2 linked regions of the Coturnix japonica genome follow. The protein of the gene in region 1 purifies or fractionates together with the protein of each later gene. This does not show direct contact. Links are inferred from orthologs where the notes say so. Each region holds a gene or a part of one and is shown on either strand. Other genes may lie near its edges.

Region 1 (4,312 bases):
AAAGCCATTTGATTAAGCAACCAGCAATCAACAAGACCTAGGAAAATCACCTCTGGCGAGGTTTGCAGACAGTTTACAGGTAAAACCAAGAAGGTAGAATTCCTTAACAGAGAATGTGACAAATTTACTCATTTTATTCTGCAAAGAGAAAATTCTTAATTTGTGCATTGGCTTCACTCCCTTTCTTAATTGAACATAACTGCCTTGCATATCTAAGCTCTTCTGTTAACAAGCCCTAAATAGAGCAGACACCACAAAACCAAATCCTTGCTTCCAACAGTCTGACTATTTGCGGGACTTAATGCTCCATATTTGACTGATGTTTTATACAGAGACAGAAGGAGTCACAGGAATTTTTCCCCACCCCTTCCTATGCTGCAAGTCAGTGTAATTGCCCCTGCTGCAGCAGCATCTGCCTTTCCAGATAGTGGAAAACATCCTGCTACATAATTGAATTTTGAGAAAACAAAACAAACCCCAACCACCCAAAAAAACCCAACAACCAAATCCACAGTTCCCCTTCTGGCTTTTTTTTTTCTTTTCTTTTTTTTATTCTCTTCTTCTTTTTTTTTTTTTTTCCTTCATATACAATCAAAACCAAAACAAATAAGCATTCTTCCCAAACACAAACAGCACAATGTGGGGGGGAAAAAAAGCCACAAAAAACCCTTCCATTTCAAAGAAGTTTAGGTACCTTCAAGCTGAATGCATTTATTTGCTCTCCTGCTTTATACATTCATATTATAAGATGCATCCTATAAACACTCAGATTCACATTTCTGTTGTGCCTTCTATATTTATCACGTGAAATTGATGGTCTTGCTATTTAGAGGCTCTTGTTCTAGTTTTACAAGCATGGCATCCAGTTGGCAACACTCTATGCCATAGTGAAAAACATTTTAAAGCTCAGCCCTGAATCCATAACTGTAACGCTGAATGAGAAGTTAAAAAAGAAAAGAAATCTACAAAGACTCACTGAGTCGTAGAATGGCCTGGGTTGAAAAGGACCACAATGATCATCTGGTTTCAAATCCCCCCCTCCGCTATGTGCAGGGTCACCAACCACCAGACCAGGCTGCCCAGAGCCACATCCAGCCTGGCCTTGAATGCCTCCAGGGATGGGGCATCCACAGCCTCCTTGGACAACCTGTTCCAGTGCATCACCTGCCTCTGCGTGAAAAACTTCCTCCTAATCTCTAACCTAAACCTCCCCTGTGTCTCAGTTTCAAGCCATTCCCCCGGGAATGCCCTATAGGATGTATGTAGCAAAAATCATCTTCAAGTGCTTGATAAAACACTGAAATCAACTCCCAAATCGCTTCTTCGGCACACTCACAACGCCTATGATGTCAGAACACGGGACAACACGGTCGCAGTTCTTTTCAATCTCTAATTAACACCAGCTCGCAACTCAACCCCCGCTGCAAGCGCTGACCAATCGAAGCCCTAAAGCATCTGTTAGTCGCAAACCAGCTCTCGGGGCGCACACGCAGCCGCCTCCCGATGCAGCAGCCGGCGCGCCGCACGCAGCTCCCCGGCGGCCCCGCGCTCCGTTACCTACCACGCCGGCCTCGCGCTCTGAGCACCGCCACCTATCCGGCGGCAGCCCCCTATCCGGCAGCACGGCTCGCTGGCGGATCGGCTCCAGGAGAGCGCCGCGAAGCTGTCGCTGACATCCGGCTGGAGCGAACTCGGGGCCGCTCTCTCTTCTAGAGCAGCCTCTCCGAACCGCCCGCTCCTTCCCGGGGGAGCCCAGATGAAGGCGCTCGGCGGGCCCCTCCCCCGCCCGCAGCCCCCCGCCCATCAGTGGGGCCGCCGCTCGCCCTCCGGCTGCGGCGAAGCTCCACACCTCCGCGTCCCATCCTTCCCCGTGGGGCCGGGCTGCCGCACCTCCGCCCGCGCAGCCGGACGAGATGGGAAGCGGCCGAAGGAGAAGCGCGGCGCGGTCTTACCTCCCCTCCCCGGCTCCGCCGCCCCTCCCGGCCTCGCACCTCAGGTGCGGAGGATGCACAAAGACGGAGCCTCTCGCTGCAGCGGGGCGGGGTCGCTGGTCCACCCCGCCTCGCGGAGCTCTCAGCGCACCGCACCGCACCCGCACCGCATCCGCGCCCGCCCGGAGCCTCTATGGGCGCCGAAGCCGTTACAACTTGCCTCGCGCCTCCTCTCCTCCCAGCGGCGCCCCCGGCAGCCACAGACACACAGACACACGTACACACGCGCGCGCCGCCGGCGGCGCAGACCCCTCCGCCAGACAGGGGCGGGGGGAGCAGGTGCCGATAGCGGGAGAGGGGCCGCCCCTCGTGTCCCCCCCCCCCCTCCTTCCGAGCCGGGCGGCTCCGCGGACGCCCCCGGGAAGAGCCGCGATGCCGGCGGGCAGAGGCAGCGCCGACAGAGCTTCCCCTACCCGGGGAAAGCTGCTCCCCTCCTTCTCCCTCGCTCTCCTTCTTTGCAGCGCGGCGGCTGACTGACAGCGCGCCGCTCGGCGGCCGCCCACGCGCATTCTTGTTTCCACTCGCTCGGAGAGAGAGGGAGATGGCGAAGGAGAAAACATGAATGAAAGCGGCAGCCGAGGGGAAGCCGGCGCTGCCGCAGTGAGGCCCCGCCGCCGGACCCGTCCCCCGCCGCCCACCGCGTGCTCTGAGCCCCCCGCGGACGTGGCCCGACTGCAGACGCGGAGCCCTCGGGCGCTCTGTGCCGCCCTGTGCGCGCCGCCGGAGGAAGGGCGACAGCATCCTCCGTGCGCCGCGGCTCCCTACGAGCCTTACGGCGGGGGCGGCCGCTCCTGCCAGCCGCTTTTGGGAGGGAAGCAGGCCGTGGGGAGCGGGCAGGTGGCCCCCAGTGCGGGCTAACCGAGGCTGAGGTTCCTCGTTGATGAACGCCCTTCGCTGACGGCGAGCAGTCTGGTCCGCGCTGACAGAAAACCCAGCACCTGGTACCTGAGTGAGGGATCCCGTCCTGATGTGATAGGAAGGAGGAAAGGATCTCGAAGATATATGTCCCCTTGGTTTTTCCAGTGATAACGTGACTCTATGAGACAGCTGCTTCACAGGGTTGGTCCTCAGATTGGCCATCCCTTACAAGGTTCTAACTCGTTAAGCACATACATCTGAACCCTTGGCTGGAGAGCAGAGATGTCTACATGCTTCGTATTGTTGGCACTGGTTCGTGGCAGGAGCTTTAAGAGTCCGGTTCGTCAGAGTGTTCAGCATGTAGATAGTGGGTGCGCACCACATCAGTGACACAGCTTTTGCCCCATGAGTCTGGAATTGGGTTCTGAGCCATCTCACATCAGTATGCACCCACAAGTTTAATACCTGCCAGAAAACTTATTTCAGACCAAATTGCCCTCTAGATTTAAAAGCCACTTAGGATTCCTATGATTAGTGTCTCAGTTACTTCATTTTTTAAATGTTGCATTCCTGAAAACTGAGTGTGTGACAAAACATGGTCAAGTCCTTTGATATAGAGTAACAAATGCAAGATAATTTAGATGGGTCAGTGCAACTCTGTATGCGTGTTTCTGTTTTATGAGGCTCTTCTCTTCGTGCTAATAGCCCAATATGACTCACCTACAGCACATATCACTGCCACAGCTGTTGTAAACCTTCTTCTGAGTCAGAGAATGACTTTATGACCCAGAATTCTGGCAGTGAGTACTATCCCAGTGATTTTCCCAATTAAGAGAGTCTTGCAAGTCAGTATCAGTGCAGGGTGAATCAGAGTTTGATGCAAGAGGCAAAACTGGACTCTGCTCTCTCCTTCAAAAATTCAGTGGCATCAACTCCTTCTAGAGTTTATAAAGACTCCTGTGGAACAGAGATTTAGCTCTCCTCAGTCCCAAATGCTCCAAGCTACTGTGCCAGCCATCTGCCACTGACTGCTGTGGAGTGCATAGCAAATCTACAGGATGGGCAAGCAGTGGTGAATAGTTGAGGGCTAGCGTGACCCTCAAATGGTTTTGAATACTAAAATTTGGATTCCTCAGGATCCGTCAACTTCTTGCTACGCAGAATCTTCATTTTCAAAAGGAAAGGGACCAACCTTCGTGGTCAGGTATAGTGTTGAGCCATAATGGCATGAAAGAGATTTTTATTTATTTTTTAACTTCATGTTGATAAATGTATCTCAATGTTACAGGTGTAAACTCAGTACAGGCTTTAGTTTTATAGCAAGATAAACTGTAGCAGGAAGGCAGATCAATAGGATGGGAAAGGCATTACAACAAAGGTGTGATGGGAGAAGGTCAAGTACAATGGAAAGGTGCAATAAAGGAAGGGAAGATGATTGCTCACACTTATCAGAAGATTCTAGG
Region 2 (4,440 bases), on another chromosome or scaffold:
GCCTGCACTTATTTCCTTATTTTCCCTTCCTCAGAATTCTGAGGCTGCACCTCAAGTACTGTGCTCAGTATGGGGGTCCTCACTACAAGGCAGACATTGAGGCTCTGGAATGTGTCCAGAGAAGTGCAATGAAGCTGTGAAGGGTCTGGAGCACAAGTCTGATGGAGAGCAGCTGAAGGAACTGGAGTAGCTCAGTCTGGAGAAGTCTCAGGGGAGACCTCATTGCTCTCTATAACTACCTGAAAGGAGGCTCTGGAGAGATAGGGATCAGTCTCTAAGGTAACAGCAACAGGGCAAGAGGTGATGGACTCAAGCTTTAATAGGTGAGGTTTAGGTTGGATATTAGGAACAATTTCTTCTCAGCAAGAGCACTGAGGAAGTGGCACAAGGAGGTGGTGCAGTCACCATCCCTGGAGGTGTCCAAGAGCCGTGTTGATGTGGCACTGAGGGACGTGGGCAGTGGGCATGGTGGGGGTGGGCTGAAGGTTGGGCAGGGTGATCTTACAGGTCTTTTCCATCCTTAATTATTCTGTAATTCCATCCAACCTGGCCTTGAGCGCCTCCAGAGATGGGGCACCACAGCTCCTCTGGGCAGCCTGCACCAGCACCTCACCACCCTCTTACATCTAAACTAAACCTCCCCACAGCAAATAAGCTGCATACAGCTGAAAGAGCTCAATCCCAGCATCCAAAATTAAAGCATATTGGTGGCATTACCTTACTTCTGATGGGACGCTAGCCCGGCTATCTTACTCAGACCATATTTCCTGAAGAGTGCCGCTCTAATTCCCTGGTTTTGACATAACTTAAGCGAGCACTCCTTTTTCAACCTGTAGCAACAGCATCATCTAGCGCCTGGAGCCTGCTCTGCATGCTTGCAGCACGGTTGCCCTTAGCACAACGCCGTGCGTTCAGCGGTTCAGCAGCACACAGGAGCGGAGAGAGCAGCCCAAGGCCGAGCATAGGACTGTGGCACACTAGCAGACGCCTGGCCACGTTTATCGGAGGGGGGAGAAAACGGCTGGTTGTATTGCAGGAGTGGTTTCACCCTGTTAAAGAACAGACATATCTTTGAGGCGGGAACAGCCAAAATCACAGAATCACAGAATGACCCGGGTTGGAAGGGACCTCAAGGATCATGTAGTTCCAACCCCCCTGCCTGGCAGGGCCACCAAACATACACCNCTGGCAGGGCCACCAAACATACACCTTTACTAGATCAGGTTGCCCAGGGCCCCGTCCAACCTGGCCTTGAACACCTCCAAGGACGGGGCATCCACAACCTCCCTGGGCAGCCTGTTCCAGGGCCTAACCACTCTCCTAGTGAAGAACTTCCCCCTAACATCCAACCTAAATCTTCCCTCTTTTAACTTAAATCCATTTCCCCGTGTCCTGCTATTGTCAGCAGAAAAATCTCCCTGTGGAGAACGTGTGTGAAGCAGCTGAGGGCAGAGAAAGGGCGGGAAAAGGCCTCAGGCCTGACAGCCCCACAGCGCCTCCCCCGCGTCACGGAAGAAGCCCCGCGGTACTACACGTACCTACAGCCGCGCATGCGCACTTCCTCGCCGCCGGGCCCAGGCGCAGCGGTGACCTCGAGCGGCGGTGGGAAAATGGCGGCGGCGGGGATCGCTCTGAAGGTGAAGCGGGGCCGGGGGGAGAGGGGGCACGGCGCGGTGCGGTGGGTCCTCACCTCCTTCGTGAGGGGGTTGGACAGCCGCTGTGTGTCCCGTAGGTGCGGCAGCTGAGCACGTCGGCGGCACGGCCGGCTTCCAAGCTGGTGAAGGTGAGCGGGGCCGGGGGTGGGGGGTTGGGGTCGGCCTCCCGTGTAGGGCCGCTCTCAGACACCGTCTGTCCCGTAGCCGCCCATCCAGGTGTACGGGCTGGAGGGCCGCTATGCCACCGCGCTGTATTCCGCCGCCACAAAGCAGAAGAAGCTGGAGCAGGTGGAGAGGGAGCTGAGCCGGGTGTGGGTAAGGCTGCTGGGCGAGCCTCAAAGGTCACGGAGGGGCTGGGGGCCGCCGTCTGTCTGGTGCTTTTAGGGCGATCCTGCATATTGTGTGACATGTACCGGGCCTGCCTGTGCTCTGAACTCCTTCCCTAGTGCCCCTCTGTGGCTTTCTGAGCTCCCTGAAGCTCTGCCATACTGGACACGGAGTCATTTGATATGTTTTTAAAAGTCACTAATAAAACTGTGAGGATGCAGTCCAGTTAATCAGCTCTTGTAGCCCACAGCTGTATGTTCTTAGGCTGCTTCGATCTACTGAATGTTTCCTCTCTATGAGCTCTACCTGGAGCTGCCATTTCATTTCTCATCTGCTCTCTCCTGCCCTGTATCCTTGATCAAAGAGCAGCTGTTGCCTGCGTAGCCCTGAAAAACTTGTGGCCTTTACAGTGTTGCTTGTGTGTTCTCTTAGACTCTCTTGAAGGACCCTAAGCTGTCCAGCATTGTTATGAACCCTCATACCAAGGGCACGGTTAAACAGAAAGCTGTCAAAGACGTTTTAGCAAAGGAGAGGATGTCCCCTATTACCGTCAACCTGATGAGTGAGTACACATTTACTTTGTGAAACATCTGATGCTGCTTGTGATTAGTTGTTGCTAAGTGAATCTGCTCCTAGTGGGTGTGCTAAACCCTTCTAATACATCTGCATCTTCCAGACCTGCTTGCTGAAAATGGCCGCTTGCGCTACACTCCAGGCATTGTTTCTGCCTTTGGGAAGATCATGAGCGCGTTCAGAGGAGAAGTGCTGTGCACAGTCACCACTGCACAGGTGGGTTTGGAACCTTGAGGCTGAGTTTAATAGGTATGGGCATAAAAGGCAAGCTTCTTTGGCTGTAGTATAATCAGCTTGCTTCATGAGCAATGAAGAAAAATCTCATCTCTACAAAATGCTTTAATAGTGTTTCAATATGCAGTAATTATTGGCTAGCGATTATACACATTCTTCTTGTTTCAGCCTAACGAGTAGCATCTTTTTCTATGTGTGAACCCAGGGGCTGATGAAAGTCAGCCTGGTCTGCAGATAAAACTGCCTCCGCTCTTCTTTTTGTCATTAAGAATACACTGAACAGGTTAGAACTAACAGATCAGCTCTTTTCTGTAGTGAGGCAGATGTCTGAAGTGAGATCAAAAAGCTCTGTAAGCTCAAATGCAGATAGTAACAGTACAAAGGGGGATGGCTTTAAACTAAAGAGAAGAGATTTAGATTGGATGTCAGAGAGAAATCCTTTCCCCAGAGGTTAGTGAGGCGCTGGCACAGCTGCCCATAGAAGCTGTGGTGCCCCATCCCTGGAGTTGCTCAAGGCCAGGTTGGATGGGGCCCTGGGCAGCCTGAGCTGGTGGGGGGCAGCCCTGCCCACGGCAGGGGTTGGAACTGCATGATCTTGAAGGTCCCTTAAAACCCAGATAGATGTGTCTTTTGTTGAGTGCTTAGTTTATCGAGTCAGGACTCTTGATGCTTGCTTTCTCAAGATGTTAACACCAAGCAGTTGCTGGTGATATGTGTGCAGATGACAGCGCAGTACTTCATGAAATAGAAGGAGCACAAGATGCTGCTGTTTCTGTGCTGTCATTTGCTTATTGCTATCCAAGAAGGCGCTTCCTCTGCCTTCCTGGGAGTGTCTTTGATGGAGTCTGAAGAGAAAGTAAAGGGGGTTCTCATTATACCATTTATTTTTTTTACGTGCTTTGTTTTCACTGTGTCTGTGCAAATGTTTTCAGCCCTTGGATGATGCCAGCCTTACTGAGCTAAAGAGTGTTCTGAATGGATTCTTGGCTAAAGGAGAGGTCTTGAAGCTGGAGACCAAGGTAGGAGGTTTTGATTTGTAAATACACCTTGCCAAGCTGTGCTTCTTGCGCTCTCTCATCTTTACAAAAAACAAATGAAAGAGGAACTTTGGGACACTGTTGTATACATTCATTTGGTTGAATTCAGCTGCTCTATTATATACTTCTATGTTTTCTTGTACGCTTTAATTACTGAAATCTTAACTTTGAAATGCACTGATTGCAAGATTATCTAAATAAGGCTCTTTTAAAGCTGTTCACGCTGTTAAAAAAGAAAAGTATAAGGGTAACAAGTATTTGCTAATGGAGTTTCTGTTCAATCTTTCTTCTAGACTGATCCCTCAGTCCTTGGTGGAATGATTGTCAACATTGGGGAGAAATACGTGGATATGTCAACAAGGTCAAAGATCCAGAAGCTGACCAAAATAATGAAAGAGACTGTCTAACAAGCTGTCCTGTTTGCTCACGGTGAAACCTGTCACAGGGAAACAATAAAACTGTTCTTCTCCAAGAGCTGTTGTAGAGTATTGATTCTAATATGTAGCAGTGGGAGAAAGATGATGAGGCCTCCAAAAGCTTGCTAGGGAGAGGTTAAGATGTTTGTATCTTAAAACTACATATAAAAACATTCAACACAGGACCTTGTGTTACAT

Evidence for each region.
Region 2: the proteins of PTPN5 (region 1) and ATP5PO purify together in Homo sapiens (affinity purification with mass spectrometry; 3 studies listed by BioGRID and IntAct, with this or other methods). This does not show direct contact. The link is inferred for Coturnix japonica from reciprocal best matches to the Homo sapiens genes PTPN5 and ATP5PO.

What each region holds. Positions count from the first base shown.
Region 1 is NC_029520.1:16,628,786-16,633,097, reverse strand, and holds the start of PTPN5 (tyrosine-protein phosphatase non-receptor type 5), read right to left. Parts: upstream 3,049-4,312; 5' UTR 2,937-3,048; intron 2,525-2,936; exon of another isoform or gene 2,405-2,524; intron 2,237-2,404; exon of another isoform or gene 2,213-2,236; intron 2,162-2,212; exon of another isoform or gene 1,953-2,161; intron 1,736-1,952; exon of another isoform or gene 1,562-1,735; intron 1-1,561. UniProt on the Homo sapiens protein: May regulate the activity of several effector molecules involved in synaptic plasticity and neuronal cell survival, including MAPKs, Src family kinases and NMDA receptors.
Region 2 is NC_029516.1:94,971,720-94,976,159, reverse strand, and holds ATP5PO (ATP synthase subunit O, mitochondrial), read left to right. Parts: upstream 1-1,511; 5' UTR 1,512-1,550; coding exon 1,551-1,637; intron 1,638-1,732; coding exon 1,733-1,783; intron 1,784-1,859; coding exon 1,860-1,970; intron 1,971-2,414; coding exon 2,415-2,544; intron 2,545-2,658; coding exon 2,659-2,771; intron 2,772-3,721; coding exon 3,722-3,808; intron 3,809-4,119; coding exon 4,120-4,233; 3' UTR 4,234-4,300; downstream 4,301-4,440. UniProt on the Homo sapiens protein: Subunit OSCP, of the mitochondrial membrane ATP synthase complex (F(1)F(0) ATP synthase or Complex V) that produces ATP from ADP in the presence of a proton gradient across the membrane which is generated by electron transport complexes of the respiratory chain.